Kluyveromyces lactis: one gene and its partners. The main gene of each other region encodes a partner of the protein of the gene in region 2 in a complex. Links are inferred from orthologs where the notes say so. Each region holds a gene or a part of one and is shown on either strand. Other genes may lie near its edges. The genes, in order: RSM18, NAM9 and MRP10.

Region 1 (2,527 bases), on a different chromosome or scaffold from region 2:
ATTAATGAGACGCGGAAGTATAATATGAGTATAAATAACTATAAATATAATCATTATTAGAATTGATACAATTAATAGAATTATTAACCCCCCCTCGCCATTCCTAGATCTAAAGAGACACAACTTGCTATTTGTAGAAAGAAAGCAGCTGCGCTGTTTGATAGATTTAAAGTTAGAGGTTGTCGATAATGATTAATAAGGATAAAATTGTTGATGGAGTTGTTTTTAAAGACGAAGATGATCCTGAAGAAACAGTTGTTTTTAATTTCCATACTTGGGTAGAAATGCTTAAAGCAATTATCGTTAAGTATGCAAATAAAAAAGAAGATGAGGCTGAATTAATGGTTTTATCGTCTTCATTAGTATGTAAGCCCATTGATAGTTATCTGGCAGTATGTCTTCGTAGCCATGAACTTGAGTATCATTGGGCAATGCTGATAGCTTACGGTGAACAGTTTTGGTTGAAAGGAGTAAGCTCTAAACAACCAGATGATTATTTAATATTGGACGAGAGTTATAGAAAAGACCACAATCTAGCTGAAGAAAGTTTTGTATTTAACGATTAATGGATTGAAAGCTGGAAAAGTAGTAATATTTTCCAGCTTTTTAATTTGTTGTTACGTTTATATGTTAACCTACTTAACCTGAATAACCACCAGAGCGGATAGAACACTGACTGATAATAGATGAATTGATGTTACATTGGAAATCACACCAATATTGATAAAATCCTCGAATTAGTTCAGAATCGCAGTTATTTACTGATTCATTATTCCCATCAGATCCAGCCAAGAATCAAGACCCTGCCGAAAAGCTGGGGTAAACGTTTGATTGTGGCCCACGGCTGGCTATGGGCGATTTCTACGTGCGGCAGCAGCGCGCCAGCGCGCCGCTGATCAAAGATCCATTACTGCTGCAGGTTACCGACAATGAAAGCCAGCTAGCCTCGATGCTGGCACACGAAATCTCACACGTGACCAAGCGCAACGCACCGCTGACCTGGGTAGGCACTCGGCTCCATTTTGCTGGCTATAACCAACCTGACTGCCGGCATAGCAGCGCTCAGCGGTACCGTCGCCGGTACCCAGCAAACGGATCATCAGTTTTGGCCAGGTCAAAGAATAGGAGGCCGATTGCATCGGCCTGTAGGTGCTGGAGCGCGCCGGGTTTGATCCACAGGGATGCCCGACTTCCTGCAAGAGCTTTCCGATCAATCGCGCTACACCTCCAAGGTTGATCTGCGTAAACTGGGTTGACAACAGGAAAAAGGTTGAATGCCTGGCAATGACTTAAGTATCCTTTATTTCAATCTCTTTTTTTTTGAAATTTAGAGATCTTTTCAACATGGAAAATTTTATTCAATAACATGAATATTAAGCAAGCAAGAGAAGGAAAACAACCAAGTCGCTCGGGCCTTTCTACGCCTGTTAACGAGAGATTGAATAAATTAAAACACATCAGAAGAAATGTTTTCCCGCAGCTGCGCAAGATTCTTTTCTACCACAAGATATGTCTGCAACAGTCTTGACCAAAAACTTCTGAAAGAAGGTATGTCGGAAGCTAATAGCAAGCCCACAATCAAGAAGCTAGAATCCAAGTTAATCAAAAACTTTCAGCCGGGCTCCGTTTACAATCCATTTGATTTCTCCTTAGAAAGAATACATTTAGATAAGAAGTTTGGGGTACGTCCTGGATCGTTTGACCCATTCAACAAATTGAAGATCAATCCACTTGATTTATACACCAACCCAGAGTTCTTGTCAAGATTTGTGACATCAACGGGTAAAATATTACACAGAGATGTAACTGGTTTATCGGCTAAGAACCAGCGTCGTCTAACAAAGGCTATTAAGAGATGCCAAGCAATAGGTTTGATGTCTAAGGTTCACAAAGACATATCGGTGCTTCCTCAAAGAACTGCAAACAGAAGCTAATCATGACATGTGATAACTTCTTGTATATATGAATATATGTTTCTCAATAAATAGGATTATATCTGTAAATAGCGCTAACAGTATAAACACGTTGCAATGGAAAGCTCCGGGACTGAATGATAGTACAGTGTTCTCATTTGTCGAATAGTCTATCCGATGGACCGTGCAATCGTATATAAACATCAGTACCCCATCCCCACAATGACTGAATGTCAAGTGTACCATTGAACAACTCTAGGTACGCTTTGCACATTGGAAGTCCGAATCCCATACCTGCAACGTTTTGGACTTCTTGACCAGGTAAAACATAATCGCTCATACCGCTGTCCTTCTCTTCCTTCACCGTTGTGGAAAAAGAATAATCAAAGACTCGGTCTTCTACCTGTGGATCTATACCGCCTCCGAAGTCTCTGATTCTGATCTCAAGTTGATCGTCGTTTTTCACTATTGTTACTTCCACATCTTTGTCAACGTTGTTTTCAATATGTGCTCTCGAGCTGTTCTTAAGCAATTCTTGAAGGACGTATTCTAGATCCGTAGGTATATATGAAAATTTCACATCAGACCCTTCCATAATTTTCACTGGAACGGTC
Region 2 (3,253 bases):
AAATGGTTTATTGAAAATTATGAAGATGAAGCCGAACCGTTAGTGATCGAAACTAAAATTGACGAATCTGTTTTCATCGGTAAATGTGTCAACACATTGGTACAAATCAAAGGTAAGGTCAACGCAGTTACTGTCAATGAAACAGAAAAATGCAGTTTAGTGCTAGATTCTTCCATCAGTGGTGTGGATATTATTAAATGTTTGAGATTTGGTATTCAAGTGGAAAACACCCTGCCACAAATCACCATCGACGCGTCTGATAGCGGCTCCATTTATTTGAGTAAAAACTCTTTACAGGCTCAAATTTTCACCTCTTCTAGCACTGGTATTAACATCAACACTCCAACTGGTCCCGATGGTGACTTCGTTGAAGTTCCACTTCCAGAACAGATGATACACACTTTCGTCGAAGGTAAACTACAAACCAAGATTTACGAACATGCTGGTTGAATATCTGAATAGTATATCTTCTCGTTACTGGGTGTTAGTTTATTCTTTACTCATTAGAACATATAAATATATATATATAATTAATATAATATGATACGATAAAATAATGATAATAATATGTACAAGGTTTCCAAGATACACCATTCTTTTTAAATTGTCATAGTCACAGTGTATCCATTCTTTCGTGTGTATTTGTTTTCGTCAACTTATTTACCCCTTCTCACATAGTACATGTATGAACGTTCATGTACAGGTAAGCCGAATGGAGTAATAACTTCAGATTGACCTGGACGTGCAACAGGGTCTCTTAAGTAGACCGCATGACATGTCTTGAATGATATTTCCAAATGGTGTGGTAGAATGGCGAATGGTGCTAAGAAGGGTCTTGGTTTCCACGGAGTGAAATATGGTTTAGATGGATCGTTACGACCAAACACACCCTTTTGCCATGGTAAATTGATAGCTTTTTGAGCAGCTGGTTCGTTTTCCAATAGTTCAGGAACATTGATCTTTTGATGCAATGGTAACTTTTCAGCCCACTTAGCATCGTATGGAATATCAACAGAATCAACGGATGCCATCTTGTCATTATAATGTTCTCTGACCACGGTTTCATAGAAATGTCTCAAATCAACTATAGTATGATTGATGGCTCTGAATTTTTTCTTTAAGGCATCGTTTGTGTTATCAACAGGTTTAGTTATTCCTGTAGCCACCTTTAGCAATTCACCTTGTTCATTAGGAATTTCAGCCAAAGGCTTCCCTGCTATCGTTTCCACAGCCTTGGCAGACTTGACTTCTCTATAAATTTCGAATCCTTTAGCTGCCAAATTTTCGTTATTGTAAAATTCGCCCAAGAAATCTTTTACTGCCAATTTTTCTACATCGTTAACGCGGTTAACGGTAGAAAAGATCTTAGCTAACAAATACTCGTTACTGGTTTGGTCTAATTCTTTCCTCATTTGAATGTGCATGGTTTTGTTGTAGTTTTCGAGGAAGGATAAAAATTCCTGTTTCTTTGGATCGTTACTATCCATAGTTCTTAGTTTTTCGATCTTTTCATCCCAGAACTTTCTAGGATTCTTTCTAGCCTCTAGAATATATTTGTTCCATAGGAAAATTTGGGTATTATCCACTTTCAAAGCTTCCTTCAAGCTAGGTTTCTTGGCACCAAGAGCTTGTAGCACTTTTTCGGGTCTGACGTTGAAAACATCACCAGCTTTCAAGGCATATCCCGGAGAAGTAATCTTTACACCATTCACATGGACGTTGCCATGTAAAATAAACTGACGAGCTTGTCTCACTGACGAGGCAAACATAGCTCTAAACAAAGCAAAGTCTAGCCTTTTCTCTAGTACAGCGTATGTTTGTAATAGAATGGGCGTCGGTTCGATATCACCACCCCTTAGAGAAGCATCTAATTGAGCCACAGAGTTTAGCTGAGGCTCGAAAACAGACTGCCACCTACTCTCTGTTAAATGTTCGCCATGGTAGGCACGAGTTTCCTGTTTAGAAGTCCATTTCTGTTGGTATAGTGTTTTCGATCTAAAACTGACCTGAGATTTCTTATACAAGTTGAACAAATTGTACTTGTTAAAAGAGGTACGAACCTTCCCTCTGGACAAAGAGTTCAGAAGTACAGCTTTCCTAGGCATTGCTGGTCTTTTTCTTCACAATGTATTGACAAAACTAACCAGAATTGACTGCTTACGGACTCTTCGAAATGGAAATACATTGCATATCCGAACTACCTGCATAATATTTTTCAATCAAACGCTATCTAATGCTTGAAGCTTTCCGATATTGAAAAATTTTTAGAGGAATTTCGTGACATATGATATCAAATATTAGCATTCATAGTTTAGAAAGATGAGAAACACCATAGAACCATATTGAGATGGACTGGCGAAGATGGTATCAAGCCTCATACGATCTGCTTTATCAGCGATCTTGATAGGAACTTTATTATATCAATTGCAAGAACGTTCTTTTGGTGTATAAGGTTGTGATACTTCAGATAAAAGTAATACGATACGGTTCACTGCGATGTCCGCTGTAAAGATAGAATCACCTAGAGGGCAAACATGGAGTAAAGTGGAGGAAATAAGGCTGTTTAAATGGATGATGCTGTTCAAACCTGCAGGAATACATAAACACTTCCATATGGTGTGTTTGCTTGAGCGATTGAACAAGCCAGATCAGTATCCAATCAAACTTTTGCAAAGCGATAAAGGCAGCTCAGATAAAGTGTTTTCTGGGGAGGACGTTTGGGAACAATTGAGTCGGTACTATAATTTAGAGAAGGCAGATGAAGTAGAGAACCAGCCATACCCTGAATTTTATAATGATGACGGACCAACCGAAACTACAAACAAAAAGACAGAAGGGGACGCTCAACTAGATAATGATGATGACAGTGACAATGATGTTGACAATTGTGACGAGCTTAAGAGAAATATAATACCATTACAAAATAGACTCCAGCAAGAGACGGAATTTGAACTATCGTGGGAAGATTATGGAGAACTTATGTTAGAACATGCTAGGGATCATGAGGTGGAAGATATTAAGCAAGAGGAGACCGCTTCTGCGGATGACAAGGCAAAACTGAAGGGTGCGGAATCACAGGATACGCAAGTAGAACAAGAGTCAGAAGAGCCACGGGAACGAGAAAAGGATATCGATGAAAAGGATACTGAGCAAAATAATGTACAGGCGAAACAAGAAATGGCGACCACTCCGCCAGTCAGTGTTGGAGAATCTGTGAGCGAACTGGCGAATGAACCTGTCGATGAACCTGTCG
Region 3 (1,847 bases), on a different chromosome or scaffold from region 2:
GGTTGCAACCGTTGCTACATTGGAATCTCTCACAGATATGGAGTTTCCTATTGTATTCGGGAGAAGAAGTATGCGGATTATATGAGATGGGATTCACTTCATTGGGCAGTGTAAACAACACATTGAGAAATCCATACCTACGGATACCAGAACCTATAGGCTCCATGACAAAGGCCGAGACTGAACATAGCGATTTCCAATGGGAAATTGAAAACAATTACAGAGGAGATTCTAACATGCATTGTAACGAAATTAACGAGAATGACCTTAATACCATCAAACAGCATGATTCATCTGAGTTCCATCCGGGATGGTATCTAACGAAAGACGAGTGGGAAAGAGCTGGCAGACTCGCCAGAAAAGTTTGAGATGAATCCACTCACAAATAGCTACAAAAATCTCTATCATATTTAATAAATCGTGAATTCCTTGATTTTAGATGATATATGTAATATTAGAAAATGGTATTATGTACAAGTGATAACGAAGGGGGAGAAAGTCTGTCTGCTTCTTTCTAATCATGAGATTTTCCACCAACTCTATCGTACAATCTAGCAGCATGATAGTTGATATTACTCTTCTGGACTTTTTGGTTCTTACCTAAGGCATTTTCCGCGGTACATGCCTTCAAATCTTGGGCCAATGTCTCACATGCACCGTACATGTGTCCGTTAGAAGACCAGCATTGTAATAGATTGGACATCAATACCAAGCATCTGTTAGCCTCTTGTTGAATAATTGGCTTTTTCACCTTAAGTCTGGGAAGAGGTGGTAATTTATAAAGAGGAGTCTTACTGGACATGCTTTAATATATGAACACTTGATATCTTGGACGTACCCTTCGCAACACGACCTTACAAGACCTCTAGAACGGACTACGCGACTACATTTATGATATTTTCCATCATATAAACGATATCATTCTTTATGATCTTAACAAAATTTTTGAGACTTTCGCCAATGTTGGATCTAAGTATGCGGTGTACGGGTTAAATTTTTCACTTGGGCCTGCCCTGGAAATGATGAGCTGCCGCGACAGAGGGAGAGAGAGCATATGGGTATAAAATAAGAGCTATAGACTATACTGTTGCTTAATTGGCAAGTACGTATACCGCTGATGTTCAGTATTTGGAAAGATCAGGCATGCTTAGGATTTCACGATCCTTGTTCTTACTGAACTCTTGCAATTGTTTTAGAATATTGGAGTTCTTCCATCTGTCAGGAAGAGGTGTAATGGAATAGTTTTCTGTGGCCCAGTAGTAGATATCCCAATCTAGTTCGTTCAACAACTGGTCGTACTCTTCTAGTTGTTCTGGGGTCATTTCCTTTAAATACTTAGCAGCAAAACGTGACAAAAGTAAGTCTGTTTCCAGAATACCTCTCTTTCTGGACTGATAAATTAATCTAGCACGCTTCTTGTCTAGAGACTCGCCGGTTCTCTTGATAGGTGGGATTCTGATTCTCACCGTGACATCGTCATCTTGGCCCTCAGCACCGTTGCTGTTGCCCTTGTTCAACAAGTAAGCATTTGCGTGAAGAGAACGGCATTGCTTTGTAATCGAGTTAACTCCAGATTTCAACACTGATGGTTTGTTGAAGACAGTTCTTAGCATTATTAGATGACAGTGGTCGTTTGTTGACTGGACAGGTAGGGATAGTATAGAGGAGGGTATACTAGATATATGTAATACAAATTAGGACCTCTTCCTAACCTGGGGTAACGGAGGAGAGAGATCAACCAATTCAAATTGTGATTCAATTAATATTATATATAGCAAGACGGGTAAAAAGGTGCCGTAATCGGTTCGGTCACGTGTACATGGACCTAGAACTCCACAGCTTTGCAA

The links.
Region 1: NAM9 (region 2) and RSM18 share a complex: the UniProt entries of both Saccharomyces cerevisiae proteins name them as parts of the mitochondrial small ribosomal subunit. The link is inferred for Kluyveromyces lactis from reciprocal best matches to the Saccharomyces cerevisiae genes NAM9 and RSM18.
Region 3: NAM9 (region 2) and MRP10 share a complex: the UniProt entries of both Saccharomyces cerevisiae proteins name them as parts of the mitochondrial small ribosomal subunit. The link is inferred for Kluyveromyces lactis from reciprocal best matches to the Saccharomyces cerevisiae genes NAM9 and MRP10.

The regions. Positions count from the first base shown.
Region 1 is NC_006041.1:409,221-411,747, reverse strand, and holds RSM18 (mitochondrial 37S ribosomal protein bS18m), read left to right. Parts: upstream 1-1,466; coding exon 1,467-1,934; downstream 1,935-2,527. Other genes in the region: KLLA0_E04599g (uncharacterized protein), read left to right, coding at 189-566; KLLA0_E04577g (uncharacterized protein), read left to right, coding at 851-1,237; protein kinase PKP1, read right to left, coding at 2,068-2,527. UniProt on the Saccharomyces cerevisiae protein: Component of the mitochondrial ribosome (mitoribosome), a dedicated translation machinery responsible for the synthesis of mitochondrial genome-encoded proteins, including at least some of the essential transmembrane subunits of the mitochondrial respiratory chain.
Region 2 is NC_006037.1:1,006,464-1,009,716, forward strand, and holds NAM9 (mitochondrial 37S ribosomal protein uS4m), read right to left. Parts: upstream 2,106-3,253; coding exon 657-2,105; downstream 1-656. Other genes in the region: SRV2 (adenylate cyclase-binding protein), read left to right, coding at 1-450; EAF7 (Eaf7p), read left to right, coding at 2,497-3,253. UniProt on the Saccharomyces cerevisiae protein: Component of the mitochondrial ribosome (mitoribosome), a dedicated translation machinery responsible for the synthesis of mitochondrial genome-encoded proteins, including at least some of the essential transmembrane subunits of the mitochondrial respiratory chain.
Region 3 is NC_006041.1:1,178,405-1,180,251, reverse strand, and holds MRP10 (mitochondrial 37S ribosomal protein mS37), read right to left. Parts: upstream 803-1,847; coding exon 515-802; downstream 1-514. Other genes in the region: FAD1 (FMN adenylyltransferase), read left to right, coding at 1-368; succinate dehydrogenase assembly factor SDH5, read right to left, coding at 1,122-1,613. UniProt on the Saccharomyces cerevisiae protein: Component of the mitochondrial ribosome (mitoribosome), a dedicated translation machinery responsible for the synthesis of mitochondrial genome-encoded proteins, including at least some of the essential transmembrane subunits of the mitochondrial respiratory chain.